3 linked regions of the Rattus norvegicus genome follow. The main gene of each other region encodes a partner of the protein of the gene in region 2 in a complex. Links are inferred from orthologs where the notes say so. Each region holds a gene or a part of one and is shown on either strand. Other genes may lie near its edges.

What was found.
Region 1: the proteins of Ap3d1 (region 2) and Ap3m1 are in contact, whole or in part, in a cryo-EM structure (PDB 9C5C), measured with the Homo sapiens proteins. The link is inferred for Rattus norvegicus from reciprocal best matches to the Homo sapiens genes AP3D1 and AP3M1. Residues at the interface, in NP_003929.4 of Homo sapiens: Lys29, Glu388, Gly389, Thr390, Thr391, Arg393, Glu429, Arg432; in NP_001307192.1 of Homo sapiens: Ser25, Ser27, Asp30, Tyr31, Glu34, Pro52, Asp104.
Region 3: the proteins of Ap3d1 (region 2) and Ap3b1 are in contact, whole or in part, in a cryo-EM structure (PDB 9C5C), measured with the Homo sapiens proteins. The link is inferred for Rattus norvegicus from reciprocal best matches to the Homo sapiens genes AP3D1 and AP3B1. Residues at the interface, in NP_003929.4 of Homo sapiens: Lys352, Leu442, Ile446, Ser471, Tyr483, Trp487, Glu491, His517, Ala520, Val521, Gln524, Asn525, Lys528, Val561, Gln562, Ser563, Ala564, Leu566, Glu567, Gln569, Glu570, Arg571, Ser573, Cys574, Gln577, Leu578, His581, Ile582, Leu585, Lys588; in NP_003655.3 of Homo sapiens: Asn75, Lys466, Lys467, Gln470, Val494, Ala497, Ser498, Trp501, Leu531, Leu534, Gln535, Asn538, Lys542, Asn567, Tyr568, Asp569, Asp572, Arg573, Arg575, Phe576, Ile577, Gln579, Leu580, Lys586, Gly588, Ala589, Leu590, Ser591, Tyr593, Lys596.

Annotation. Positions count from the first base shown.
Region 1 is NC_086033.1:3,292,388-3,302,487, reverse strand, and holds the start of Ap3m1 (AP-3 complex subunit mu-1), read right to left. Parts: upstream 6,271-10,100; 5' UTR 6,244-6,270; exon of another isoform or gene 5,999-6,243; intron 1-5,998. UniProt on the Homo sapiens protein: Part of the AP-3 complex, an adaptor-related complex which is not clathrin-associated. The complex is associated with the Golgi region as well as more peripheral structures.
Region 2 is NC_086025.1:9,617,450-9,627,394, reverse strand, and holds the start of Ap3d1 (AP-3 complex subunit delta-1), read right to left. Parts: upstream 6,401-9,945; 5' UTR 6,165-6,400; coding exon 6,069-6,164; intron 1-6,068. UniProt on the Homo sapiens protein: Part of the AP-3 complex, an adaptor-related complex which is not clathrin-associated. The complex is associated with the Golgi region as well as more peripheral structures.
Region 3 is NC_086020.1:27,330,652-27,340,826, forward strand, and holds the start of Ap3b1 (AP-3 complex subunit beta-1), read left to right. Parts: upstream 1-4,306; 5' UTR 4,307-4,378; coding exon of another isoform or gene 4,379-4,506; intron 4,507-10,175. UniProt on the Homo sapiens protein: Subunit of non-clathrin- and clathrin-associated adaptor protein complex 3 (AP-3) that plays a role in protein sorting in the late-Golgi/trans-Golgi network (TGN) and/or endosomes.

The sequences.
Region 1 (10,100 bases), on a different chromosome or scaffold from region 2:
ACAAATTCAAACTAGACAAAAACCCCAGGGTAGAGAAAGGGACGCAGACACAAAGTCCTACTCCTAACCAAGAAGTGTTTGCAACTGATACATGCTAGGAAAGGGAAAATTGTTTTTGTCCAATACAGTATCACTGGGTAGGGTAGGCACCATCCACAGGAGTAGTTGGCTAACACAAGGATGACTCTGTGTATGTGTGAATGTATGTATACACATTCTGTTTTGTTTTGTTTTGTTTTTTTTGTCCTACTGTGTTTTTTATTTGATTTTCTTTCTTCCTTTTCATTTTTAAGGGGAGAGAACATGAAGTTGGAAAGGTAGGGAGGAGGGAAGGACCTGGGTAGGGGAAGGAGAAAGAATATAATAAAAATATATTAAATGAAAAAATATCATTGTCACATTGCCTTGACATAAAAACCAAAGGCAATGTAAATAATAGCAGATTAATATTACTTAAGAACTCAGATGGAAAAGTTCTTAATTCTAGAAAACTAAATTCAGCAACTATTTTTTAAAAAATACAGTTAATTCCAAGAATGCAAGTTTATTTAACACAAGATAGTTAATCAGTATAATATACAATATATGCCAGTTAGTTCTGTTAACTTGACACAATCTAGGTAAATCTGGAAGAGAAAGTCTAATTGAGGAATTCTCTCCATTAGACTGTTCTGTGGGCATATCTGTTGGTCATTTTCTTGATAAATGATAAATATAGGAGGACCCAGCCCATGGTGGGTGGTATAAGCCCTAGGCATGTGGTCCTGGGTGGTGTGAGAAGCTGAGCAAGCCACTAAGCAGCATTCCTCTGTTCCTCCATGGTTCCTGCCTCTGCATTTTCTTTATTTCCTGACCTGACTTCCCTCAATGGATAACTATGATTAGGACGGTTAAGCCAAATACACCCTTTCTTCAAAAGTTGCTTTTGGCCATGGCATTTATCATACTGACATCTGGTCATGATATCACTATCGATAGATATTATAGTCAATGTGCTGTTCTGGCTTGATTTATGAGGAGAGTTGGAGGGTATGCTCCGCATAGAAACCAAAACATGCTCTTGTTTTTATGATGAGAAAGTTTAATTGATTAGGGTAGAAAAAAAAAAAAGAATTGACACAGGTTATCTCAAAACACTAGGCCCCTGGAATGCAGTGGCACTCCATTATCACAACCCTCTCTAAGACAGTTGCTTGTTTTGACTGGTTTCTTTATTTTAGAGCTAGATTTCCACTCACTTTCTTAAGCCGGTGAAAAAGTCTTTCCAGGAAAGTTTCCACCAAAGTTGTTTTTATTGGCAGTCGTTCACGTTTCAGAATGCTGTGTAGTCAAACCAGTCAGTGGATTTACTGTTGCTATCCTTTGTGCTGAGATGAGAGCATAACACTTCCAGCACTCAACAGCACTTGGCTTTAAAACCTAGTTTAACCTCCAATAATATTATCCATATTATGACCAACTGCCTAATGTATATAAGAAGCAACGCCCCATGAAGCAGAATAAATTATCCTATTTCTTTAGCCACTTATGCTTTTGATAGCTGCAGTTATGTTGTTCCTTACTTTATTGAATTCTCTTAGAAAACTACACAGGGACAACCACCACAAACTGTGTGGGGTGTGTGTGTGTAATTTCCGAATTGCAAATCACACCGATCCGAGTTTTGATTGTAGTGTAATTGCTTCATGGATCCTCTTTATGTGTGAATTCTTCCTGACAATTACAATAGTCAAAATATCCTTGGAAGTCAAGTATGTCTTTTTCTTTTTAGATAGTCTTACATTGCTAAATTCATGGCCTTAGGCTATCCCTTACCACAGCATCTTAAGTAACAGGGACTACAGTCATTCACCACACCCAAGTTTCCTTCAGCACAGAGCATAAAGGAGGCACAGGATGGGGTAGATTGAGTTAATGCAAGAGCATTCTCACAGCAGGCTCAGCAGAAGCATGTGTGACAGTCCTTTAGTCTTCGTCATCCTGACTAGCCGCTATACTAAACTAGACTAAACACCTCCTAGCAAGGTGTTTACAGGAGCCTTGCTTGTTCCTTGACCCAGAACTGATCTTATTCTGCATGTAAATAAAGTGGTATAAAAGCAGATAGGAAAATAAAACACATGCTTCAGCCTCAAAACTGGCTGGAGTCATGTTAAATGTTGTCTGATGGTCTTTTTTTCTTTCTAATCCTCACTGCTGCCCTGGAGAGCCTGCTGGCTTGGTCAGAACGGCTGATCTATACAGTGAGAGAATGGGAGATGGGGAGATGATCAGGTCAGTAAAGAGCCTGCCGTGTAAGTGTGAGGACCTGGATCCCCAGCACCTTAGCAAAACAGGAGGTGGTGGTTCCTTTCTGTAACTCTAATGGTGGAGTAGGGGTGGGACACTGGGGAGTGGTGACAGGCTTTCTGGCTAGCTATTCTAGCTAGTCGGTGAGCCTCAGGTTCAGTGAGACTGCCTCAGGAAACAAGATGAAGAACCACAGAGGAAGTCACCCAACTTAAAACTCTGATCCACACACAAATGGGGACCTCTGCAGTTTCATGCACCAACACGTGCGCGCGCACGCGCGCGCGCGCACACACACACTGTCACTCAACACACATACAAATATGAAACGATACCCCAAGAAGAATTTTGCTCCTCTGATTCTCAACCAAAATCAATCATTTTTTTCCCCATTCAATGAATTGTTCTATATATTTTATATATTAGATATTTGGGGATATGATGATGAATTAAACATTTCTATGCTTTTATCTAGTTGCAAATACAAATACAGTAAGAAGCAATTCCTATGACAGGAGAAAGAGAGAGAACTACTGGAATCATCAAGGTTTACAGATACAAAAAGAAAACATGAAAGAAATCAAAAACAAATTTTACAACTCTTAAGGTTGAAGAAATGCTGGAAGAAAGGTAACGAAATGACAACAGTCACTGGTCATGGGGCAAGGCCTGCCTTATTTATTGTTCTCTGTAATCACAGGTAACTTAATGTTTTATTATTTTGAGGGAAAATATGTAAATCCGATTTACATTTTTAGAGAGATTATACTAATTACACTATGGAAACTGGATAAGACTGCACCAAAGTATGTGACACCAGTTAAGAGGCGAGTGATGGATCAGAGCTGGAGAGATGGCTTGGCAGGTTAGGACAAAGCTTGACGCCCTCTTCTGGCCTTTTCAGGCACTGCCCTCTTTGGAGCCTGGACTGAAGGTTAACAAGAGAATGGAGTAAAATGGACAATGAGATTTAGACAGGCTTTGAGAAATAATGTATTTAAGTCTGTGTGTGCACAGAAATAAGATGAAAGCTGAAACAGTTTGACATACATACATAATTTGACTCAATTCCTAATACATATGACTCAAATTCAATCACTGTATTCAGGTCTAGTGGTATGTTGTTAATGGGAATTATAAAGAATTACATTCAAAGAGATTATGAACACAGCAAGAAACATTTATGAAAGAAAAGCCAGTATTTGCGGAGCAGATGCGTCAAGGAAGTGGAACTAGACAGACAGACAGACCCTAAGATGGAAGTGAAGCAGGGTTTTTAAGATGGGGAAGGACGTGGGAGATTTTTAGTATCTTTCTACAAGAATGCTACAAAGAAGTCAAGCTGTGAGGATTTAAAAAGATGAACACAAGTGTTCTGTTTTATTTTTTGTTTTTTTTTTCCAGATTGGAGATGGCTCACTGGTTAAGAGCATGTTAAACATGCTCCTACAGAAGACCCAGATTCTGCTGGGCTTGGTGTTGAAGCTTCAAGGGAAGAGGCAGGGGGATATCTGTGAGTTCCAGGCCAGCTTGGTTTACAAAGCAAATTCCAGGACAGCCAGAGTGGTCACACAGAGAAACCTTGTTTTGAAAAACCAAACAACAACAAAAACACCAAACAAAACACCCCCCCTCCCAGACAACTCCCCCCTTCCCCGAACCCAACCAACCCAGATTCAATCATAGCACCTACATCAGGCAGATCATAACTCTAGCTCCAGGGATCTACTGCCCTTTGTTTCCATAGGCACGGCAGTCATGTATACACACTCACATACAAACACATACAATAATACAAATAAACCCCAAATAATACAAAAAATAATAAAAATAAGTCTCAAAAAAGGTTTTACAATTTTCCTTTCTTTTATTTTTTTTTTCCAAGACAGAGTTTCTCTGTGTAACCTTGGCTGTCCTGGAAATCATTCTGACGACCAGGCTGGCCTCCAACTCACGAGTTTGCTTGCTTCTGCCACTCAAGTGCTGGGATTAAAGGTATATGCCATGATTTCTGGCTACCAGTGATCTTTTAAATTTCCAGTCTTTCCCCCCTCGGCCAGTCATATTGTTCCCTACAGATTGTTTGATAAGTCTTTTTTCCTATAATTTAAATGTGTATTATGTGTATTTGCTGTGGGTTTGTGAATGTTTAAAGTGCAGACCCGTGAAGGCCAGGAGTGGCTGGTGGATCTCCTGAAGCTGGAGATACAGGGGGTGGGATTAAAACCATGCACTGCTTCAGCAGAGGAACAGAGTTCAGTTCCCAGCACCCACCTCAGGCAGGTCAGAACCCAATACTTTCTGGATGTAGTTTTGTATGTACTTCTGTGAGTATATGCCATGTGCGTGCAGGGACCTGCAGAGGCCAGAAGAGTACACCACATTCCCTGGAGTTATAGGCTGTTAAGAGCCACCCAATGTGGGTAATGGGACCTGAACTTGGGTTCTCTGTAAGGACAGCAAGTGCTCTTAGCTACTAAGCCATCTCTACCCCATCATCTCCCACCCGAGGTCACACAAATTAGAAAAAAAAAAAGTAACATATGCCTATTTAAAGTACATCTATGACTTAGGCATTAAAGAAGGGTTTAACTTTTGTTGCTTCGCAAGTAGGTTTTTTTTTTTTTAAAGTTTTTATTTTATTTGTAAGGGTGCTCTATCTGCATGTCTATCTGTGCATTGTGTGCGCAGTGCCCAGAAAAGCCAGAAGAGGAAGTAGGATCCCCGTGGCATTGGAACTACAGACAGTTGTTAGTCACTGAGTGAGGGCTGGGACTTGAACCTGGGTCCTCCAAAAGTGCACCTAGTGCTCTTAACTGGCAAGCCATCTCTCCAGCTCCAAGACTTGTTTTTTTTTTTTTTTTGAAATCCATACCAAGAATATATGGTTGTCGTATTGGATGTCAAATGGACATCGGCGATCTTGGCTAAAGTAATTTTGGTGATAACTCAGTAGGATGTTGGCAACGACATTGCAGTATGGTTCTTAGCTAGAAGCAGCAAGTAGGAAAAGGAGGCTGAAATGGCTCATCAAAAAAAAAAAAAAAAAAAAAAGTGTCTGCTATCAAGCCTAAGGACCTGAGTTTGATCCCTAAGATCCTCATAGTGGAAGGAGAGAATTGTAGCCCAGGAGTTGTCCTCTAACTTCTACTACATGTGTTTTGTGGCATGCCACACAATACAACAAACAAGTAAATGCAAAAATAAAGTTTAAAAGACAGAAGGCACTGAGAAACAGAAGGTAATAGCAGTGGGAAGGTAAAGGTCCTGTCCTCTCTAAAAACAAAGGGGGCACATTTTCTTTTTTCAATACAAAGGAAGGAGATTTATATATTTGCTTGCAGAAAATTCCTTTCTTCTGTGTAATGTATTTCCAAGCCAAAATCTCAAATAAATGCTGAAAAAAAAAAAAAAAAGCTTTTCGAGTGACCCGACTTCTCAACCAGGAAGTTAAAGCTTCAGTACTAAACAAATCCATGACATCCACTCATCCACTCATCACGCTTCCATACTCCAAGCCGCCTTTTCCGTTTACAGCCCTGTCACCTGTCTCGTGAGAAGCTGCTACACCCTTCTCACAGTCTCCCCATCCCAGGCTAGCTCGTCCAGGCACCACCCTATAAAGAAAGCGTTCTCTTAGCGTCATCGGGGGATTTGCCCTCCACGGCCAAACCTGGGGGCTGACAAGTTCAAGTCGTCGGTACCCCACCTCACTGTAGATGTCATTTCTCGCGCCTGGAGTCCAGGGTCCGAGAACCCTACGTGGCAGGTGCACCGCTCCCTTCCGGCCCAGCTGACTAGGAAGCCCGGGTGTGAGGGGGAAGGCGCGGCCCTGGTGCACAGCAGCAGGGACACTCCTGGAGCCCCAGAGAGAGTCCCGAGCCGGAGCTATGCAGTCTGTTCCCCGGCTTTTGAGATGTCTCCAACCCGGAGACTCCCCGCCCTCACACTCACCCCGACACCTGGGCGAGTCAGTGATTCGGTGCCGGGTCCTCTCTGAACCGAAGCTGAAGCAGCAGAGAAAGCCGCGAGGACCCCGCGCTTGGAGTGCCCAACACACTGCCTGACTAGCAGCCTCCGAGGCGCCGAGGAGGTCAGCGGGACTAGAAAGAAACAACGAGCGGAAAGGCGTTCAGCGAGAGGCACGGTGTCTCCGGAGGTTGAGGCTCTGAATCTTCCACATTACTCAGGGTCTGGAGGAACAGGGAGATTGGCACTCCCTGAGCGCAGGCGCTCACCCGCAGCCTAACTGCGTTTTGGGTCCCTTACCGTAGTAAATGAGGTCCTGGAGGGACGGGACTTCAGACGCGCGTAGAGCCAATGGTGACAGACCAGAGTCACGGATTGGGCGGAGTTCAGGGAGGCGGGGCTTAGTGGAAAGGGGGCGGGGACGAGCAGAGGGGCGGGGCCACCGGGCTGAGGGGCGGGACGCGCGGCAGAGCCAAACCGCGGTGAGAGTGCGAAGATGGCAGCTGCGGACGAGCCGAAGCCCAAGAAGCTCAAGGTGGAAGCGCCAGAAGCGCTGAGGTGAGAGCAACCCTGCGTGGGGGAGGAGGGAGAAGGCACTTGCAGCGAGCCAAGGCCCACGTGGGCTGGCGCAGCCGGATGGTGACTGCGTTCGTGGGGCCAACCCGCAGGACCTGCAGCTCGGGGAGTTGCCCGCGTGGCTGCTGTTCCCCTCAGTGCCCTCTGGTTCTGGACTCTGCTCAGGTGCATACTCGGCCCTGGCAGCCATTGACCAATCAGAGCACCTGGTCCGGGGGCTGAGTCTTCCTCTGGCGCCACGTGCGAGCCTTCGCGGGCCGCGCTAGCGCGACCCTAAAGGACCTATTTGGAGCTGCATCCTTTCCTAGGGTATTTAGCGGGAAGGCGCCCGGCGCCTCCTGGACCCTGGTAAAAGATAACATTCTTGGAATTTTTTCAGTAGGCGTTGCAGAGCGTTTTGACCTTTTCTGTCAGCTCTCTGAAATTATCTTTGGAGACCCCCTCGCCCCAGGGACCCCCAATTCACCTCAGAGGCTTTGCTAGGGTAGCATTTGGCTAATTGGTTAGAAAAGTTCTTGTTTGTTTTTCTTTTTTTTCCCTTTGCATATTTGATAGGAATGGAGAGCTCTCCCAATACCTGACGCACATGTAATTGGTGTTGCGACTTTCACTTATAAAAAGCCGTTTGTTAAAAAGAAATTTCTTCCTAATAAGTATAAAGTCCGGCGCGTTCAGTGTCTGATGACTTTGAAGTGTTCATTGGAAGGCAGTGATTTTGCTACTAAAAATAGACGCATCAAACTGATTTAAAACCGTGGGGGCTCTTACTGATTATACAAAACAAATTCCATTTATTTCAACATCTCTTTATCATGTTCAAAAAGAGAGTTTATTCACAACATTTATTCACAACTGAAAAGAAAAGGTTAGTTGGGGGTCCCAAATCATGTTCTTGGTTGGAATGGTGATGACCAAATCCCTTTTAGTGGCTTTACTGTATGCCTATTATTCTTAGGTCATTGTGCATGTCTAATACTACAAACGTAAAACATGAGAAACAAAACCAACTGAGGATGTTTTATTTTAAATTTTAGATTATCTGGGCCGGTGGGATGGCTCAGCAGATAAAGGCATTTGCTGCCCAGTTGGATGACCTGAGTTCAGTCAGACTCCAGGACCCACATGGTGGACGGAGTGAACCTATTCTTCTGTTGCTCTCTGGCCCCTCCCCACTAAATAAAACAGATACTGTCTCCTTAGATTTTTCTTTTAATAAAAGTAAGAGTTTGTATATGATCCCTTTTAACAGTGCTTACCATCTGAAGTAATGGTATAAAAGCCTCTATGAAAGAAAGGCAGGGATTAATCAAATTTTATAGGTGCGGAAGCTCAAATAAAACATTTAAGGAAGGAAAATTTGAACTCAGGGCATGAGGTTCAGGCTTATTATTTTGTTCTAGTGTGTTTGCACAACATCCAAGACATGCTTTGGTTTCTCTTTAAATGATCCATGGTAATGTTTACTACTTAGATATGTATATGCCAGTCTCATTCTACATATTTTAACTCAATGCCATAACAACCTGGTAAGAACATTTCTATAATTATCTCAATTTTACCAAAAATGGAACAGCCACATATCTGTCTATTTAAAATTGTAAATAATTTAGTCAAATAAAGTTCACTTCCCAGAATGCTAACCTACTGCTTTCTGCAGAGGCGAAGTTCAAAGATTAGTCGTTTTGACTATGGGGACACAGCTCTTTAATGCTATGCAGAGAACTTTGAGTCGACTGTTCCTCCTTTTATTAGTTTACCTTTCATGAAGGATAGCTGAATGAGAGTGCATTTGGACTGGATTACTCTTATGATTTTCCTGGCAGTTAAGAGATTTCTACCAATTTTGTTTAACTGTTAATACATTTTGTTTAACAGCTTATAAATTGTGAGTGCAGTTTAATTATAGATTCCGTGGAGGACAAGTCAATTAATAAAAGTATTTATAGAGGTTTGGAAGAGAATTTAGGAATTTGGGAGTTGTCAGTTATCTTTAGGGAAATAGTTCTTTCTATTTATGTGTGTGTGTGTTTGTGTGAATGTGCATCACTTGTGTGCCAGAAGAGGGCTTTGGATGCCCTGGATCTAGACTTAAAGAGAGCCGAGAGCCATCTGATGTGGGTGCTGGGAACCAAATTCAGCTCTTCTGGAAGAGCAGTTTGCTCTTAACCATTGAGCCATCCATCCTTCCAGCCTAGGAAGTGATTCTTAACTAGAGGGAATTTTATCTTAGAAGGAACATTGAGTAAAGTTTAAAGATGCTGCCAGAGAGCTAGTGAGATGGCTCAGAGAGGAAGAGTGCTTGCTGCCGAGAACCTAATGAGCTGGGTCAATCCAGAGCCAGGACCCATGTGGTGGCTTGAATAGGAATGGCCCATAATGAGTGGTGCTGTTAGGAGGTATGACTTTGTTGGAGTGGGTGTGGCTTTGTTGCAGGAAATGTGTCACTATTTGGGGCGGGCTTTCAGGACTTATATGCTCAAACTAGGCATAGTGCCGTAGTATTCTCCTGTCACTTATGGATGAAGACTAGAACTCTCAGCTCCTTCTCCAGCACCATTCCAGTCTGCCGGCCACCATGCTTTCCACCATGATGATAATGAACTAAACCTCCAAAAGCCAGGCCCAATTAAATGTTTCCCTTTGTAAGAGTTGCCATAGACACGGTGTCTCTTCACAGCAATGAAACCCTAACTAAGACAGGCCATTTGCACTCGGTACAAACAACTAAATGTAATTTAAAACAAGCAACAAGCTGCCTTGGTGGCCCATGTCTTTAATCCCAGCAGTCTGGAGGCAGAGGCAGGCTCCGGTCCCTTTGTAAATCATATCTGACAGCTATCGAGATTTCCTTGTTTTGTTCCCCTATCATGTTGCTCCCACTAATGTATAAAGGTGCTTCTGGGCATCTTAACAGTACAGAAGACATCCCTCTATGCTGGAGATTGTCAGTATTGTTAAGAGTGAAAAACTGCTTGGTGGGGGGATCTGACAAGATTTCTGCCTTATTCTTTACTGTTGCTAAGGTTTCAAAGAGTCAGATTGTAACATGTTTTCAGTTGGACTTTGAGGAGAAAGAAACTGAGTATCAGACATTTACACAAGGACTACTCAAGTTTCTTTTCTCTCCTTTGGAATCCTATCCAAGCTCACTGCTTCAGCGGTCACCTCTAAGAAGACACAGTACCTTCCAAGTAGTGTTGAACGCATGCCCAGTTTGTTCTTTCTGTCTGTCAAGTATGTGCTATTTTAAGCGTAGTGCTAGGAAC
Region 2 (9,945 bases):
TGATTTCTACATGGACAGACAGAGAGACAGACAGACATACAGACACACACAGACAGACAGACAGACACACACACACACACACACACACGACATATACAGAGTTACAGATTGTTATGAGTTAGGTCATAGGACTCAAACCCAGGTCTTTTAGAAGAGCAGAAAGAAATGTTAACTGATAAGCCATCTCTCCAGACTCCAAGACAATTAAAAAAAAAGAAAAAGATATGATATGATATGATATGCTCCTTCCACTGAGGCCATCCTCACAGAGCTAGAACTCTGTCTTGGAAGCAGGGTTGATCTCTCCTGTGGTTCCAGGTTCATCCCTTTCATTCCAGTACTTAAAAGGCAGACATGAAAAAAAAAAAAAAAAAAAAAAAAAAGGCAGACATGGAGGATGTCTCTGAGTTCAAGGCCAGCCTAGGCTATATAGTCTGAGTTCCTGTCTCTAAAAGTAATGAAAAACAATCCTGACCCCCTGTGTTTGATCCCTTGGAAGAAGATAGTGGAAGAAAAAGGAAAAACACAACAAAAAACCCAGGGCAGACACACTTCCTCAGGAGCCCAAGGCAGCCCCTGGACAGCCCAGTGCCTGCTCATGACTGTGCTACACCTCAGACCTTGGCCTTTCCAAACATGGCTGCCACTGTGTAGTTTTAAGCTGGCTTTAATGTGGAACATTCTGCCTAGGCCTTCTTACGAGCTTGAGCCTCATGCCAGCTGGCTTTGTGAAAGATGGCTGTTTTATCTGGCTGATAAGAAGGCAGTAGCCAGACATGGAGAAGCCAAGTAGTAACCCAAATGGCCCAGCTGGTACTTCCCGATTGAGGGCAAAAATCCTGGGTCTCTAGGTGAACCTGGCAAGGGTGTTATAAGACATGAAAAGACCTCAAGTGCCTGCATGGATGAGGACGGAACCAGCACGCCTGTGAGCAGGTGTGGCAGGAGGGCTGGCAAGCAGGGGCTCACATTCTGGGAGACAGGCACACATTGGTGGCAGGTAAAGAGACACACAGGAACTGGCCCATGTGCACATATCCCCACAGGGCGGGGGCCTTATGAGCCTCACTGGGCTACAGTCTAATTGTGACAAGGCTAGTGTCCTGAGGTTCCAGGGAGCACCCCATCCTGCTTGCCCCAACATCCAGAAGCCTCATCCTTAGTTCCTGGCTCCTTCTTCCCCTAGACACACAGCAGCAGTCTCCCTGGCTCCACCTCTTCCCCTTCCAGCTTCCCTAGAGGACCTGATGGTGAGAATGGGTCCAGGTGATCCAGACGATGGCTGCCCAGCTCAGGGTCCTCAGTGTGACCCCCGTCTGCATAGTCCCTTCTGCCACTTAAGGACACAAGTCCACAGGTCTCACAATTAGCACATGGGTACCTCTGGTGAACAAAAGTCACTTCACATCACCCAAAGTCAAAGCAAGAATGAGCCAGGGGCTGGGGATCGTATGGCTGTAGCAGAGAAACCAGAAGAAGCTAAAGACAGGTAAGTCAATGTGGATGTCTGGGGAACCTGGAAAATGCGGGGAATTCTGGAGACTAAATGGAGCCAGTCCCAGTCTGGACTCAGAGAGCAGGACAGGGAGACTAACACCCAATAGAAAAAGGAGCTGAAGCCTCTGCATAGGCAAGTAAGTAGAGCAGAGAGAACAGGATCTAAGAAGTTGAGGCAGGAGGATCTTGAGTTCAAAGGCCAGCCTGAGCAACTTTGCCTAACCCTCAAAGTGAAAAGTAAAAAGAGGGTTGGAGTGGGACTCAGGGGTGCAGCCCCTGCCCAGAACCCCCCAATGAGGGGGTGAGGGTAGGAGGTGGCTCAGGGGCAAAGAATATACCTAAAATTGGTACAGACCAGCCAGTACAAAAAGGCCAACCTGGGCAACACAGCATGACTGTCTAAAAGCAAAAAATTAAAATAAAAAATAACAGGGGCTGGGGATTTAGCTCAGTGGTAGAGCGCTTACCTAGGAAGCGCAAGGCCCTGGGTTCGGTCCCCAGCTCCGAAAAAAAGAACCAAAAAAAAAAAAAAAAAAAAAATAAGAGAGCACAAGTCATTTGTGCTGAGCACAGGATAAGCAGGGCAAAGAATGGTCATGGCAAAGGACACAAGCAGCCTGGGGTACGGGTTAGGTCGCCTCAGGTCCCAAGCCCCAGGGACAGCTGGGAGCTCCCAGCCTCTCAAAGAGCCTGGCTAGTACTTCACAAGCAGGAGTCCAACCCAGAAAGGAGACCTGCCGCTCACCCTGAGACAGAGCTGCATATGCCTGAGCTTTAACTGGGAAAATCTCGTTGGTGACTAGACAGAAGCAAGATAGATCTGGTGGTAGCAAGTCCAGCAAGCCCAGGCTATGAGGCTGAATGAAGCATGGTCCCTGGCTAGCACACAATGGTGGTCTCTGGCACACAAGTCACAGATGAGTGGAGTCAGTCTACCTCCTTCCTGAGCAAGGGTAAATACAAGTCTGACAGACCCACCTGGGATGTTACCATCAGTTCTTAATGAGATGCCATTTCTGGTTGAAAGTCCCTAGAAACGTCAACGAGCCAGGCAGTAGAGAAGTACCAACATGGGAAAGGAGTGTCCCCTGGGAATCTCTAACTCCTACCTCTTACAGACACTGCCACTGGAACAAGTAGTCTCCATCTGACCCTTGGAGCTACCCATCAAAGGGAATCAGCTAAAATCCTCATGATTTTAAAATCCACGGCAGAGTTTCAGGAACAACTAGGCTGGGCTGATCACACCACACAGGAGCTGCTGCCAGGATACCCTACAGGTCAAGATGCCTGGGTAAACACAATCAGGTTCCTGAAGACCTGGCAGAGGGCAGAGGCACTAGGGGTGCCCCCTGCAGCACAGATACAGTGTTTTGCTTTCAGTCTTTAGCTTTCTGCAAGGTACCTAACAGACATGGGGTCTCATGCCTGCTACGTAAACACTCATGGAAGCTGTGGCTTTGGAGCGGGGGAAGGGGAGTGGGAAGGATACTTTGGTGGGACAAGACAGAGCGATGGTACAGCAGTTAACAGCGCTTGCTGCTCTTGCAGAGGACCTAAATTGGGTTCACAGCACCCATGTCCAGTGGTTCACAACACCTCTAACTCCAGCTCCAGGAGATCCAAAGACCTCATCTGGTTCTGCAGATGCCTCTACACAAGACAGACAGATACACATATACACAAAAGGGAAAGAAAAAAAATTATATATATATATATATACATATATATATATATATATATATATATATGTATATTACCCGGCTGGAGAGATGGCTCAGTGGTTAAGAGCACTGACTGTTCTTCCAGAGATCCTGAGTTCAAATCCCAGCAACCACATGGTGGCTCACAACCATCTGTAATGGGATGCCATTTTCCGGTGTGTCCAAAGAGAGCAACAAACAGTGTACTCACATACATAAGATAAATAAATAAGTATTAAAATAGACACACAGACACACACAGACACACAGACACACACACACACACACACACACGGATACATTAGTAAGACAAAAAATTCATTGGGCATGTTACTGTACACCAACAATCCAGCATTGGGGAAGTAGAGACAGGTGAGTGTGAGTTCAAGACCAGCCTAATCTAGAGTGAGTTGTTGCCCCCCCCCCCCGAAGTTAGAGTACAACCATCTCGAAAGGGCTGCAGAGATAGAGCAGACAAGGACTTGCTGCTCTTCTAGGGGACCCGGGTTTAATTCCCTGCATCCACTTGAGGCTCTCCATCCATAGCTATCGCCACCACACCTGGCAATAATTTTTTTTTTTTAAATACAAAGATCATCTCAGGCTACAGAGATGGATCAGTGGTTAAGAGCACTGTCTTCGGGCTGGAGAGATGGCTCAGCGGTTAAGAGCACCCGACTGCTCTTCCAGAGGTCATGAGTTCAATTCCCAGCAACCACATGGTGGCTCACAACCATCTGTAAAGAGATCTGGTGTATCTGAAGACAGCTACAGTGTACTCATATATAATAAATAAAATAAATATTTAAAAAAAAAAAAAAAAAAAGCACTGTCTTCTCTCCTGAGGTCCTGAGTTCAATTCCCAGCAACCACACAGTGGCTCACAGCCATCTGTAATGGGATGCAGTGATGCCCTCTTCTGGTGTCTGAGACAGTGACAGTGGATTCACATACATAAAATAAATAAATATTAAAAAAAATCATCTCAAGCTGGGCATGGTGGCATATGCCTTTGATGCCAGCACTCTAGAGGCAGGCAGATCTCTGTGAATTCAAAGCCAGCCTGGTCTACAGAGTGAGTTCCAGGATAGCCAGGGCTACACAGAGAAACCCTGTCTTGGTTAAAAAAAAACAAAAAACAAAAAACAAAAAAGATCACCTCAAAACAAAACTAAAACCCCACAAAACTTCCAAGTGCACATACCAGCATTTTAAGTACTTGTAAGGCAGAAGAGTTATAACCGCCAGGGTTATACAGTGAGACCTATGTCAACCAGAGTGTAGAGCAGAGAATGGTCACTGCATGACTTGTGCTACAAGCTTGGCCAGAAGGCAATGCACTACATCAGCACCTCCAAAGGAGAGTACCTGCAGTCCGCAATGAGCCGGATAACACGCACAGGAACTTAAAGATGGTCCCTGAGGAGGGACAGAGGACCCAAGCAACCTCAGACTGGCCAGCCATGTTGGTTGGGAGAGATGGTTCAGCTGTTAAAGGTAGACTCACAACCAAAATCTTAGCACCCAGCAGCAGAAGCCACATAGAACCTGAGGGCCTGGAGGGCTTTCTGTGCCCACCTAGTCTGCACTACTGAGCCTTGCATGTATGGCAGGGTAGGGAATATGAAGAGCAAAACACACACACCTCAAAATCAGTAATCCCGGCAGGAAGAAGGACAAGGCAGGAGTATCATGAGCTTCCAGCCAGCCCAGGCTATGTCCCTGGCTAGAGCTTGTTTCAGGTACTCAAATTAGAATGTGACCGGTCTCAGGGTCCCAAGACAGCTCCCTGGGGACACTGACAAGAGGGAAACCTGGAGGCCCTCGAGAGCACAGAGGGCCACAGAAGAGTACAAAGGAAATTTCACATAGGGCAGTCCATGCACAGGCCAACCACACACTGGCCAACCAGCTATTTCACCTGAAGTAACAGCCAGGGAGAGCAGGGAGGGTACAAACCAGACCAGGTAGGGTAGAAGGGAGAGGGCTACAGAGGGCTGACTGTCCCAGCCAGGGGCCTGCTTCCTGACCTCACATAGCAAGCAGGGGCCAGCAGGTACCTGTCACGGACACCCTCTTTCAGCATGGCCTTCCTGCCCCGGAGGAAGCCTGTCTTTCCACTGAGCCAGGCACTGGGCAGCCACTCTATCACTTCTTCCTTAATCTAGGTCACAGACTGTGGGGAGGAAAGGAAGTAATGCTCGTGGTCACAGCCTAACTTCTGGAAAAAAAATTGCTTCCACACCCTGACTTTTGCCTTTTTTGAGCTTCCAGTTTTAAAGTCAGGCTTCTCCATTCCAACACGCCCCTAGGTCCTGCAAACACTGATAGTTCAGGGGATCTGAGGCAGGGACACCTGGCAAGTTCCCAAGTAAGCCCAAGACAGCAACCTGGACCTATGTCCCCGGACAAGGGAATTTCTCCATGGGAGACACGTAGACCTATGACTTGATTTTTCTGTGAGGGTCCCGATTCCTCCATATGTGATCCAGAAACAAGCCCAAGTGGGAGAACCTTTGCCTAAGTAAATCTTCTCCAAGAAGGTAAACTCAGGCTCAAGCAGTGCACCCAACTGTAAGGCCTAAGACGCTTAGGTCTTATGACAGCGACTGCTCCAAGTGGACATTTGGGAGGCTCCGGGAGTGGACCCTAGTTATAACAGACGAGGCACCTGAGCCGTTTTGGACAGCATCCATTTCAAGCTGGTGGGGGTAAACAGAGGCCAGGGGAAGGAGAGGTTGTGCAGAGCCGCAGCTCCTAAACAGGCAGGGCCGGAATGGCGATGGGGTCGAGGAGGCTGCTCCAAGGCGGGCCAGAGGCTATAGGCTGTGGGGAAAAGCCGGGCAACCCCACTCCGCGCCGGCTCACCTCGTCCTCCTTGTGGTTGCGGATGCCGCGGACCAGATCCTGCAGGTTCTTGTCGAACATGCGGTCGATACTGCCCTTGACCATCTTGAGGGCCATCGCGGCGGCCCGTGGGCTGTGGCCTCCGAGGGGAACGCCGCCGCCGCGGCCCTGGGAGGTGCGGGGACCCGGCGACCGCACCTCAGGCGACCGCCCCGCTGCGTTTCCGGCCGCCGCGGAGAGGACGACGTGGAGGCCAGAGCGACGGCTGTGGCCGGAGACCAGTCTGAGGAGAAGGGGCAGCGAGTTAGCCCCCGCTTCCGCAGACCCTTCCCTGCTCAGGGCCACCCGCAAATGGCGGCCAAGATGGCGGTGGGTCAGCTGACGGAGAGCCTCGGCGTCCCGGAAGCCCCGCCTCACCAGAAAGCCCGACCCCACACATCAGTTTCCTTGACAACCATATACCGCCCAATAAGAAAGCAGACACCGCCCTTTGATGCCTGGCGGCCCACCCCTTCCTCTGCAGTGCCTTGCAACCTCATTGGTGAGCAAGCTCCCCACATACACGTTCTAACCACGCCCCTAAGGGAAAACCGCGAGCCAGCCTCCCCACTCAGCTAAATAACAGCAGTGGGCGTGGACAGGGTTGGAGTGGGCGTGGCTAGAGGAGGGCGGGGCTCCACGTGGAGCTTTTTCTGCAAGGTCCGGGTAAAGTATATCCAGCTCCTCCTTTTCTGAAGTGGTGACTTGGGAATTGGTGTCAAGAGTCAGTTACACCAGACCAGCAGTCTAACCGGCCGTCCTGTGCTATGTGAAACGCTGTCGGAAAAGACCAACACAAGGCTTGGATGGTGAACACCATGTAGGAGGAACTGTGGGGGGCAAGTGAGTTTTCCTGGAGATGGTCCACCGTTTTGGACAGCTGTGATGGGTGTTCCTGAAGAGGCACAGCCCCTGAGGCGGTCATCTCTAGATTACCTCTCGCTGCTGCTGTGCCGCCTCATGTTTGTCATTGCTATATGTCTCCTGTATCTACTACGATGTTAATGGGCATCTCTCCAGCCCTTAAATAGTTTTAAGATGTTAGGGTAGTTGATAGAAAGTTTAAAGAGATGGTTTAGGTTGTTTTGCCTTCTAGAAAGATATAATAGGGCTGGAGAGATGGCTCGGTGATTAAGAGCACTGACTGCTCTTCCAGAGGTCCTGAGTTCAAATCCCAGCAACCACATGGTGGCTCACAACATCTGTAATGAGATCTGATGCCTTCTTCTAGTGTGTCTGAAGACAGCTACAGTGTTCTCATATACATAAAATAAATAAAATTTAAAAAAAATCTCTGATGGCACTGGGTGTCAATTCCCAAGGATCTAGTGTCAATTCTCAGATCCTAATGGAGGCACAACTGTGTAACTGCAGTTCCAGGGGATCCAAGCACTTTTCTGGCTTCCACAGCCACGAGGAACGAATGGTGAATGTGAATATACATGCAGGCAAAACACACAAGAGAAAATAAATATATCCAAAGTAAAAATTTTAAGTAGTATTTTAGACATTTTAGCCAGGCAAAAGGACTGCTGAGGGCCCAGTCTGGCTGCCATGTGGAGTTTCAGGGCACAGTGCTCAGCAGAGAGACACTGTCTCAGTCAGGTGAGCATGTCAGTGTGGTGGCTAAGGAGGCCAAGGCAAGAGGATCGGAGACTGCGATCACACAAGATAAATAGACAAGATGAGAAAGGCTGGGGAAAAGGTTAACTTGTCGTCCTATCACTGAAGAAAGCGCAGGCAGGAGGATCAGAAGCTCAGGTTTTATCAGGCTGCAGTGTTGTTGTAACAATATAAAAAATAAAAGGCTCTAGGTCCAGCACCACAGTGCCCCAAGATAGCTGCTGGATATCTTTCAGTCAGCAAAGCGTCTTACCCGCTCTGCTCCACCCCATATAACACTGTCAAAGGCCTCTCTCTGAGCCTGGCAGTAATCTCTCTACCTATCTAGTTCCCAAGGCAGGTTTCCATGCCAGAAACACACATCCCAAGTCTGTGGCGGCCCAGACCAGCCGCCGCACACTTTCTTACACTTAAATCTACACAAGAAAGAACACACAATAACCTTTGGCCCAACTGATAAGATATAAATGCCCACCTAAAATTACCAAGCGCAATACACATCCATCCTTTAAAAACATTTGTGGGGTTGGGGACTTGGCTCAGTGGTAGAGCGCTTGCCTAGCAACCGCAAGGCCCTGGGTTCGGTCCCCAGCTCCAAAAAAGAAAAACATTTGTAACAACCTGTAAAGGTTCAGTGTGGAATCTTAACGTCACCTGCCATATTGTCTTGCCAAGGCTTCTCTCCCTCTCCCTCCTGACTCTTCCTCCTTTCCCTTCCAGTCTCCTCCTCTTCCTTCAAACTTTTCTCCCGCCCATCCTTCCTTCTCGTCCAATGACAGGCCTCCTTCTATCTTGTACCTACCTCACCTGTGACATCATCCCACACTGCAGAGTGAATTTAAGGCCTGAACTACAAGAGAGAGAGAAGCCCTGGCAGGACAATATGGCGGGTGACGTTAAGACTCCACGCTGCACCTTTACAGGTTGTTACGAATGTTCTTAAGGGATGGATGGTACTGGCTTTGTATGTTTAGGTGGGCAATTATATCTTATCAATTGGGTCAAAGATTTATTTTATTTATTTATTTATTTTTTGGTTCTTTTTTTCGGAGCTGGGGACCGAACCCAGGGCCTTGTGCTTCCTAGGCAAGCGCTCTACCACTGAGCTAAATCCCCAACCCCGGGTCAAAGATTTAAAAAAGAGAGAGAGAGGGCTGGAGAGACGGCTCAGTGGTTAAGAGAACTGGCTGTTCTTCCAGAGGTCCTGAGTTCAATTCCCAGCAACCACATGGTAGCTCACAACCATCTGTAATGGGATCCGATGCCCTCTTCTGGTGTGCATGAAGACAACAACAGTGTTCTTATATATAATAAGTGAATAAATCTTTAAAAAAAAGAGAGAGAGAGAGAGAGAAAGAGACTAAATTAATCTGCCCTGAGAGGCAGAGGCAAGAGGTCTCAACGGATTTAAGGCCAGCATACATAGTGGCTTAGGCCAGCATCAGCTTCCTAGAGACACACTGTGGAGTACAAAGTGTATGCCCGACAGGCAGGAGTTCTGAGTTCCACCCAAGTGAAGTGGAAACATCTTCAGATATGTCAGATGATGTCTTGCTATAGCAGACACGTGAAACGACACGTCATACAGGATTGTAAATCTGTGAAAGGACACGTCATAGAGGAATGTATTCTGACCCCACAGACAGTTGAGCTGGGGCAGTTGTTTCCTTTGCTCTGCCTCACTAGGCTTTGCTAACAACAGGCATGTATTGGTTTGCCTTACATAGTCGCTGAGTTCTGCTTGTGGTGATGCCAAGGAAATTCAAAGGACTCTCAGGAGGTTCCTGTGGTTTCTTGCAGCTTCTGTGGCCTCGGGCTGGTTGGGGAGCCTTACGGCTCCTTCTGGATTGAATCGAACTTGCTGGTTCACGTGTGGTGTCTGCTGAGGGAACTGGACAACAGCTGCTGATTCATATTTGGGGTTTTACTAGAGGACTGGACTGCTGATATCTTGACAACGAAGATTGGACTTGCTCCCAAAGAACTATTTCTAAGTAGTTCTCGATGAAGAGGCAGAGGAGCAGTTCAGGCCAGCCTGGGTTACTTGACACACCAAAACAAATGAAGAAAGCCATTTGGTAGAAGAGCCTTTGACAGACCAATCTGATAGCACTGAGAGTTCAGGAGTTAGCACATCCCTCAGTGTGGCCAGCAGGGGGCAGTGCTTACCAGGCACAGAGGTGGCAGGCGGCCTGAGCTGGTGGACCTGGCCAGAGATTCAAGGCTGTGTTATTAA
Region 3 (10,175 bases), on a different chromosome or scaffold from region 2:
TAGGGGTTGGGGATTTAGCTCAGTGGTAGAGCACTTGCCTAGCAAGTGCAAGGCCCTGGGTTTGGTCCTCAGCTCCAAAAAAAAAAAAAAAAAAAAAAAAAAAAAAAAAAAAAAGCCTCATCTATTAATAAAGAGAACTAAGGCTAGACAGAATGTAAAATGGAGTAGGATTATTACAGTGGGAAAGAGCGAGCTAACCCAGGGATGCATTTCGAATATACCAGGGATAATTGGTGGTGATTCATAAGTGTTTGGAGAAGGAGGTCAGGTCTAGGAATAGAAGTCTAGCTGGAGAACGGAATTCCTGCTGATGGCAGACAGATGACCACCACACCAAGGGAGGGAGGGATCAACTTTGATTAGATATGGAGGGTGGAATATTCTTGCTAAAAATAACTTTACAAAGAACTGAGATAGATGTAGGTCCAGCAGAAGTCAGAAGGCTGCAAAGTTTGGTCAAGAAAAGAATCTTTTTCATTAACAAAATAAAATAATATGTCGATATTTAAAGCAAGGTAACTCTGTGTGGCATATGAGAGACAAAGGGGATGGATAAAGAGACCTAAGAGAATACAAAGAGGAAAAAAATAAGGTATAGGGCTGGAGAGGTGACTCTGATTAGGAGCACTAGGTGCCCTTCCAGAGGCCCCCGGTTCTGTTCCCAGCAGCTACATGGTAGCTCACAACTGTCTGTAGCTCCAGTTCCAGGAGATCTGACACCCTCAGACATACACAGATGCAGGTAGAGCACTATGCCCATAAAGTAGCTAAACAAATCTTTAAAAAGACATAAGATGACATTGATTTTAATTTGCATTAGGAGAAACACACACACATATTGTGCTTGGAGAACAAGTTCAATACATACAAACGTTTTTCTTTTTTTGATACAGGGTCTTGATATGTAGTTCCAGCTGTCCTTGCATGCACTGTTATATAACACAGACCTTGAACTCACAGAGATCTGCCTGCCTCTGCCTCCCAAGTGCTGGGAGTAAAGGTGTGGGCCACCAAGCCCAGCATCCAAATTTATCATATATTAGCATGATGGTTTAGATGAAAAAAAATGGAAATCAGAATATTACATGAAGGTTTTGGTGAGTATTGCAGAAAAATCATGGAAAAATAACCTTGTATTTTTGAAAAAAGTATTTATTTCAACACACACACACACACACACACACACACAATGTACATGAGGGTAGGAAAGAAATCTGGCTTAGGTTTGGTAATAGATTTGATTCTTTGGTTCTTTCTCAAGTGTTTCTTCTGGACAGTTAGCATTTATAATTTTTTATTAGAAAGCTTTAGGGCTATATAAAAGTTTTAAATTCTGGAGGAGTGGAAGATTAGACTTCTGCATAGGGAGTTAAAATTTTACTCTTTCTGTACAGATAGACAATCTTATAATTAGGGAGGTCTAGGTCTCTCCTTGTCCACTTCCTCATGTTTTCAGAATGTGCTGGCTGGTTTTATGTCAGCTTGACACAAGCTCGGGCCACTGGAGAGGAGGGAACCTCAATTGGAGACATGTCTCATGTTGTGGTGACTGCCCCTCCCCCCATCAAATCATTTTTGTTGCTACTTCCTGAATTTTGTTACTGTTATGAATCGTAATGTAAATTTCTGATAAGCAACACCTGAAGGGATTGTGATCCACAGGTGGAGAACAGCTGCTGTATGGGGCATTTTCTTTCTTTTTTTTTTTTTCTCTTTTCTTTTTTTTTCGGAGCTGGGGACCGAACCCAGGGCCTTGCGCTTGCTAGGCAAGCACTCTACCACTGAGCTAAATCCCCAACCCCTGGGCATTTTCTTACTTAGTGATTGATGTGGGCCTACCCCACCATGGATGGTGCCATCCCTGGCTGGTGGTCTTGGGTTCCATTAGAAAGCCGACAGCGGGGGCTGGAGAGATGGCTCAGTGGTTAAGAGCACTGACTACTCTTTCAAAGGTCCTGAGTTCAAATCCCAGCAACCACATGGTGGCTCACAACCAACTGTAATGGAATCTGATGCTCTCTTCTGGGGTGTGTCTGAAGACAGCTACAGTGTACTCATAAATAATAAATAAATTAATTAAAAAAAAAAAGCAAGCAGACAGCGCAAGCAATGGAGCAAGCCAGTAAGCAGCACCCATTCACTGCCATGCATCAGCTCCTGCTTCCAGGATCCTGTGAGTTCCTGTCCTGACTTCCTTTAATGATGGACAGCATGAGGAAGTGTAAGCCAAATAAATAAACCCTTCCCTCCCCAACTTGCTTTGGTCATGGTGTTTCATTACAGCAACAGAAACAGAGAAGGAGAATTTTATGTTTTTCCAAAGGACATAGGCTTTATATCTTTATAAAATATTCCAGGAAGGAGGAAAAAAATAAATTACCCAATACTGTTTCTTTTTCTTGAGAAACATAACAGCTTTGACAGCCCGTCCCATTCCAAGGACAAGCTAAACAGAATAAAGCAAGACTTCCCCCACAACTTTCCAAAGCACAGGTCAACTGTTTACACGAGTCTGTATGAAAACGAAACAAAACAACAACCAGTGAAAATCCAGCAGCTTGTTAAAGAAAGAGAGACTTGAGAATGAGTCCTTTTCAAGTGGGGTGTGCTGGTGCACCGCAGACTTGGCAGCTTAAGGCAGGAGGATTGCAGGTTCCAGGCCAGGCAGGGCTACAGAGTGAGACCCTGTCTCTAAAAACATAATAAACCTTTTTCATAAGAAAATGAACTATTCGAGATAAATTGGATTAACAGGTTTGTGTGCAATTCTAAGACAATAAAAAGCACCTGGGGAGGGGGAAACACATGAAAGATAACCATATTCATTATCGACATGAACATATAAATTAATTATAATACAAGTATCTATATGACATTTATGACAAAATTATGAGAATGTGAGGAAATCCCTCTCATTCATAAATGTTAGGAAAGCAATTTAGAATATCTAATAAAGGTGTATATATTCTAAAATTAAAAAATTATATACTCAGGTCTATTTTGTAGTGAGGATGTGTACAGCATTGCCATTACTTGACAGATAAAGTAAGCAAGTCCTAGTGTCTTTCCGTAGTAAACGAATTAATTCATGCACACCACTTAGAATAGTGTATGGGGTATAAGTTAAGCATCATATAACATCATATAACACCTCATCACCGTCGATCAGTCGTAGGAGAGATTCCACCAATATCATCTATACCGGGAAGCAATGTATTTGAGATGCTCTAACACACATGTTATCTGGACAGGTTCATTGAAAGGTTAACTAACTGCCAACATTTGATCAGTTTGGAGGCTCCTCTCCCTCCTGGCACTAGGGAGGATCATGTTTTCAGAAAGACGACGCGATATTTCAGTCAGGTAGAGAAATATTGGTGGGACCCGGGTTGGTGTTTGCCGGGTGCTACCATTGGGTTTTGGTGATTGTCTGTCGGGCTCCAGGTATTCAGTCCTTTCTGGACCGTAGGTGTAGGGAATGAGGAACGAAGGAACCATAGTCACCAGGGAGGCCGGCTGGTGAGGCTCCTCTTAGAAAGCTGCCCGGGGCAGGAGGGCTGCAGCTACCGCGACCACAAACCATCCCACCTAGCTGCTTAGGGGATGTTGGAAAGTTATTTGCCAAAGAGTGGGAGCAGGTGGCTCCCAGAGGCGAGCGCACTCCGGCACCTCGCCGAGGCGCTCGGGGCAGCTGACTGCGGGCAGGACGCACGCCTAGAACTCCAAGTGAGAACCTCAAGCCCCAGGAATACTTAGCCAAAGCTTGCCCGTGGATGATCGCCTCGGTGCAGAGCCTGCAAGCCTTCCCGGGAGGAGGAGCTTTCAAGTCTAGAACGTCAGTGGTCTGGCCACGCTGGCTAAGAGAGGGGCGGGAACCTGCCCTAAAGGTTGAGAACTCGTGACCACCGAAGCTAAATTCGTCTGGCGTGTGCTCGGTGTTTCAGGAGGATTCCGGGAGCGATCAGCGGACAACAGAAGTGAAGCAAAGAACCTTGAAGGGTCTGAGATCTCCTCCAGCAAAACGCATCCAAGGGCCTCAAATCCAGTACTTTACTTGCCCACTACCCTCCGGCAAACTCGGTGCAAAAACCACAGCTTCCTGTTAAGGGTCTCGGGTGCAGCTTCCCGGCGGCCTCTAACACCCGGAGCGCGAGAATCCAGCGCTCCCGGAGCGGCAGGCGCCGGCCCGCGCGGACTCAGTGCGCACGCGCAGGGGGTGGGCCGCCCGGCCGGCTGGAGCGGTGACGAGCCCGGAAGCGCCGGCGCGCGCCCCCTCCGCACCAGAACTAGTTTTGTTCGGTGTCCTCGGAACGCCAGCCACCCGGAGAGAACCCCGCAAGCTCCCGCCCGCACCCGCCCGCTGGCCGGCACCGCCGCAATGTCTAGCAACAGTTTCGCCTACAACGAGCAGTCCGGAGGAGGGGAGGCGGCGGAGCTGGGGCAGGAGGCCACCTCGACCATCTCTTCCTCGGGCGCCTTCGGCCTCTTCAGCAGCGATTGGAAGAAGTGAGGACCCGGGCTCGGGGTGCGGGAGCGCTGCGGGGACGCTAGGCGGCCACCCGGCTGCTCTCGGTTCCGGAGGAACCTCCCTGCGGTCCCCGCTGCAGTGGGTGGGTGGGTGGGGTAGCCCCGCCGGCTGCGGGGCTTGTTCGGAACGTCTGGGGACGCCAAAGGCGACGCCGGTGGTTTTCAAACTTTGGTGGGGGAAAGGAAAACCGGTTGTTGAGCTGAGGTTCCACTTCCCAAACCGTTGACAGAGTTGATCTGGGCTGAGCACAGGAGCTTGAATTTTGAACTAGTGAATCAAACTAGTGGACAGGATCAGACCTCGAGAAAGTCATTTATTTAAAGGTGACGAGAGTATTTGGGGAAGGGGGTTGAGAGTGGGCCTGCTGCTTATTTGGACCCTGCAATATAAGGACTAAGAGGTGGGGTTCTCTATGAATGACAGCTTTGTTTTTTTAAAACCCTTTGGCGTTTTCTTACACCGTGATCTTTGCACCAGAGTACTCTTTCCCCCGCCCTCTAAGGCATTGAGATAATATTTAAATAGAGTGTTGCTGTGAACCAAACCTAATTCTAGTTATTTACAAATAGTATGAATTTTAAAAATAATCACTAACCACTTTTGTAAACAGTTACTTAGGGTTCACAGCAAATACCGCCCAGAATTGAAAACATCCTTAGCGGATTCAGTTTTAGTTTAGTTTTTTTGTGGGGTGGGGTGGGGTGGGCTTTGCTTTGTCGTGGTTCCTCCCCACCCCTTGCTTTCTGACAGGGTCTCACTATGTAACCTTGGCTGATCTGGAACTCACTAGGTAGAGCAGGCTGGCCTGAAAAATCAGAGAAATCCTCCTGTCTCTGCTACCCCAGTGCACAAACCACCATGCCATTTTATGTTTTTCTTATTTTTGATCTCTTATTGTTACATAGTGCAGGAAAACATAATAAACCGTCACTTAAGGTAAGGAAACTGGACTGATAGTCTTGTGGGTGTTAAGGGGTATAATTAAAATAAGAATTTGTGGATTAGACAGCTCAGGCTGGTCCCCAACTGGAACTTGCCATTCTCCTGTGTCTGCCTCCCAGGTGCTAATAGTTGAAATTGAGGTGAAAATTCGACTCTATTGACTAACATCTTGCATAAAGCATATAAATTATTTGTGTTCATTATTTCCAGGATATGAATGTTTAAAACATGATTGCTGTAAATCTGTCTTTGTGTGCATTTGTGTGACTGACTGATCCAACAAGGCGTTTATTATAACTACATTTCCCTCAGTAGAAGGTTTCAGTAGTTGAATTTGCATGTGACTTGTGTACACTTAGTCTACTTTTCTAATCTCTAAGCATCTAAGGTGTTTTTTCTTTCCGGCTATGTAAAATTTGGGAAGAATGCATGCCTCACAGCTGAAGTTAGGGTTGAAGTAAAATGAGCGAACCTTGAGTGCTTGTGCATGGACACTCATAATTAACATCTTCAGTGTGTTTCTGCATGCCGGGGCCTTGCCTAGGCCAGTGCTCTGCCACCAAGCTACATCCCTAGTCCTCAGTCTTTAGTGGGCTGTTCCTAGTACTTCCATGATTCCACTTTAAGGGTGAGGAAACGGGAGTCTAGTTGGTTAATTTGCCCAAGGTCACGAAGCTGTCAAATTTGAACCTAGACATTATAATCTCAGTTCTTTCTTTTTTTTTTTTTTTTTTTTCAGTTCTTTCTTTAATGTGTTTGCGTATGCTATTAACTCCTTGAAATCAATGCTATTTTTTCTTTTCTTTTCTTTTTTTTTCCGGAGCTGGGGACCGAACCCAGGGCCTTGTGCTTGCTAGGCAAGCGCTCTACCACTGAGCTAAATCCCCAACCCTGTTGTTTTTTTTTTTTTTTTTTTTTTTTTTTTTTAATTAGGGAATGCATACAGCTCACCAAAAGTTTAAAGTTTTGCATAGTAGCCATAGATCCTATATGACTTCTGGCTTTCAGGAACTGAAACATTTTGGCTACTGAGCTGCAGTTTAATGGAGTCAGTCGTGTAGAAAGCAACAGACTCCTATTCTGGAAGTGGCCACCTAGTCTCTCCTGAGCTCTCATTAAAAACATTTGTCTTTCAAAATAGGATCTCACTATGTAGCTCAGGCTGGCCTCAAACTTGTAATCCTTCTGCCTTAGATTCTTGAATGCTTGGATTTCTGGGTGTGACCTATCACACCTGGACATTTTGCTCCACTTTTTAATGGATTACTTTGTAATAGCTTCTTTTCCTTTTGTCTTTGACTTTAAAATCATTTCAGTTTTTATGCCCCCAGCATTTGTCAGGAGAACCACTCTATGTAAAGTCACTGGTTATCATTTTAGATTTTACTTTTTCACTTGCGTTGGTGTGTGGGTTTGTGTGGTACCCTCGGAGGCCAGAAGAAGGCCTGGAACTGGTGTTAACAGGCATACGGTGCTGGAACTGAAACTGGGGTCTTCTGAAGATCAGTGTGGACTCTCAGCCGCTGAGCTCTCTCTCCAGTCTGGAGCCACAGTCAAAACAGTCACTGTGCTCCCCTGCCCCTCCTGTCTCCTTCCCTCTTCTCTCTGCCTTACCCCTTTCCTTTCACATTCACACACACACTTCTCTACACACATGTCACATGCATTGTTGTCTTCTGAACCGTGGAGATTATGTTTAGATCGTGCCCTTTACCCTTAAAACCTTAGTATCTGTTTTTGGTAATAAAAACAGTCCCTTAAGTCGTCAGATATGATCAAGGAGTTAACACTGGTACAGGAGATATCGTGCTAGTCAACAGGCCTTTGCTGGAGTCCCATCATCTTTGGGTTTGAGTTTCCGACACTGATTTGAGCACAGTGTCGTAATGTGTCATCTGTTGTGCCTAGAGACACAAGGTACCCAATCTTCCTAAGTTTCCCAGTTAAGGGCTTTTCTGGTAGCTTGATTTCTATTTTTACCCCCTTCCCCAATCTGGGTTTCTTGGGAGATAGCTCGAGACCATTTGGCTAGCTTTTACATTAAAGTCTTCAGCAGCCAGCCATGAAGTTTTTGTTATAGAGATGGGCCTCTGTGTGTGTGCAGGTAAGTGTAGGTGATTAAGGAGGGCAGCAGAGGGCAGCAGATGCCCTAGGGTTGGAGTAGGCGTGGCTGTGATGTGGATTGGTAGCCTAAGATACAGTCTCCTGAACCTGCCTGCTGCTGTGGCTGAGTGGGGTGCCCTGCTCCCTGTGTCCTCTGCCGTGCACTCTCTCGTTGTGTGTTCTTTAGTACTTCACTGACTGTTCCAAATACGTCTAATCTCTTCCTGATCAGTCACTGATTTTTGTTCTCAGACTCTATTTGAAATTTTGTAACCCTTCTCATCCTTCAAACAAAACCAGAACGGGAAGCTTACATTGCCTATGAATGCATATCCCCCTCAGCATATAGCTTTTGTGAATCATCCCAGTGCATTACTTTACTGGCCTTACAATGTTCTTCACTTTTAAATGTAAAGAGCTAACTTCTGCCCCCTGGCCCCCGCCGCTTTATTTTGGAATAGTCTATATTTCCATTGCTTTTAGTTATCACCTAAGTCATTTGTCTTTATTTTTCAAAAAAAAAAAAGAAAAAAGAAAAAAAAAAGAAAAAGAACCTTCCTTACCTTAGTCCATTTGGGTGTATATATAAAGAAATAATTTCAATTTCTTCTGGCTTACCATCTAATTGCAAAGTAGTTTCTAGATGAAGGGTAAGACTAGTCAATTTTCTGATTTTCTTCTGAATTTCTAAGTGTCTTTTTATGTATCTCATTAAAAAAATTAGAGCAATCATTTAAAACAATTTTATTGCCACGCAGTAATTTTATATATGTGTGTGTGTATATGTATATACATATATATATACACATATACATATACATATATATATTTATGGTGTTCATGGTGGCATTTCAACATGTGTATACATTACAAACTGATCAAACCAGGGTAAATTAGCAATTCTGTCTCCTTATTTTTTTTGTGTACAGCCTTTGGCTCCTTTCTTGTTTCTCACAACTGTGAAGTAGTTCATTGAGGATTATAACTGGCTTACTGTACTATGGCAGTGTCTTAGTTACTGTTCTGTTGCTGTAAGGAGACACCATGACCAAGGCAACTTTTGTAAAAGAAAGCGTTTAACTGGGAGTTTGCTTCAGTTTCAGAGTGTTAGTCCATGATCATCCTGGTATACACAGGCCTGACACTGGAGCAGTCATTGAGAACATCCCATCCTGATCTGCAGGTAGCAGGCAGAGGGAGCAAGACTGGTCCTGGTGTGGGCTTTTGAAACCCTAGAGCCAGTCCCAGAAGCATATCTTCTCCAGCAAAACCACACCTTCTCTAACAAGCACACACCCGATCCTTCCCAAACAGTTTCACGAAGTGGGACCAAGCATTGCACATACGAGCCTATGGGAGCCATTCTCATTCAGACCATCACAGGGGACTAGAACTCCTTTCATCTAACTAGTTTGGTAGTCATCCAGCTCCTCTCTTTTCCCCTCTCAGTTCAACAGAAACATACGAGTGATTGCAAATGTGTGATGCTGGTTATGCTGGAGCACAGGGTTTCCCAAGTCTCCCCTTCCTAGAGAGCATTGTGCTATTAGAGAGTCACAGGAGGCAGAAGGTTTAAGTTAATGCTTTCCAGTGATAGCAGCTCAGCTATCACTCTTGCTCAGCTTGGTTGAGTTCTTCACATTTCCGTTTCCTTGTTTCTAGAAAGGCGTGGTAATACTTGCCTGTTCTGGGAGATTTTTTGTAAGACAGCGTATTTAAAGGAGAGCTCTCATCTTCCCTCTCCCCTTTCTCTTTCTCTCCTTCCTCTTTCCTTCTTTCCCTTCCCTGTCCATTCTTCCTGTCTGTCTGTCTAGAGCTATGATCTCCTATTGTTCAGGCTGGCCCGGAACTCACTGTGTAGACAGATTAGCAGTCCTTTTCCCTCAGCCCCTCTGTAGTCCTGGGATGACAAGCATGAGTCACTGTGTGCAGAAGAGGGTGAGTTTTCTTTCTTTCTTTCTTTTTTTTTTTTTTTTTGGTTCTTTTTTTTCAGAGCTAGGGACCGAACGAGGGTGAGTTTTCTAACCTAGAATCAAAACTAGGAAAACGTGCCAGAGTGCCACTGAAGTGCTGGTGCTGCAGCCTGAGGTCTGAGGAGCCTTGCCACACGGGTGAAAGAGGGAGCTTATTTAGGGCCAGAGAGCTGCAGGAAAGGACCCACATCCGAATGAAAGCAAGGTGGGCCTCCATGTTCTCAGCAGCAGCTAGGGAAGCTTGGGGGTGGTTGAACCACCCAGGCAGACTGTTAGAAGATGGGCAGTGCACATAAAACCCATTTGCCTCTGAATAGAAGACTCTGGAAAGAGTGCAGGGGGTAAATGGAATGGAGGCCGCAGCGGGCCCTTGCATGTAATAATTAAAGATTAGCAACCAGGAATTCAGCAATCCGTCCCTACTGACTGAATTACATTGAAAGGTGAAAGGTTTAGCCCTCTGCTGATGTTGGAGTGGATTTGTTACTTTAGATTCAAAGAGCATTTTTAGAGACTACCTGAGGGCTGCCTGTTTTCTCTGTTTCCCTGAAATGGGAGTTAGATTACGTGCGTTATCATTACATGCATTACCAGCTTTGTGGTGGCAGCTTTGAGCATTCCCTCCCTCC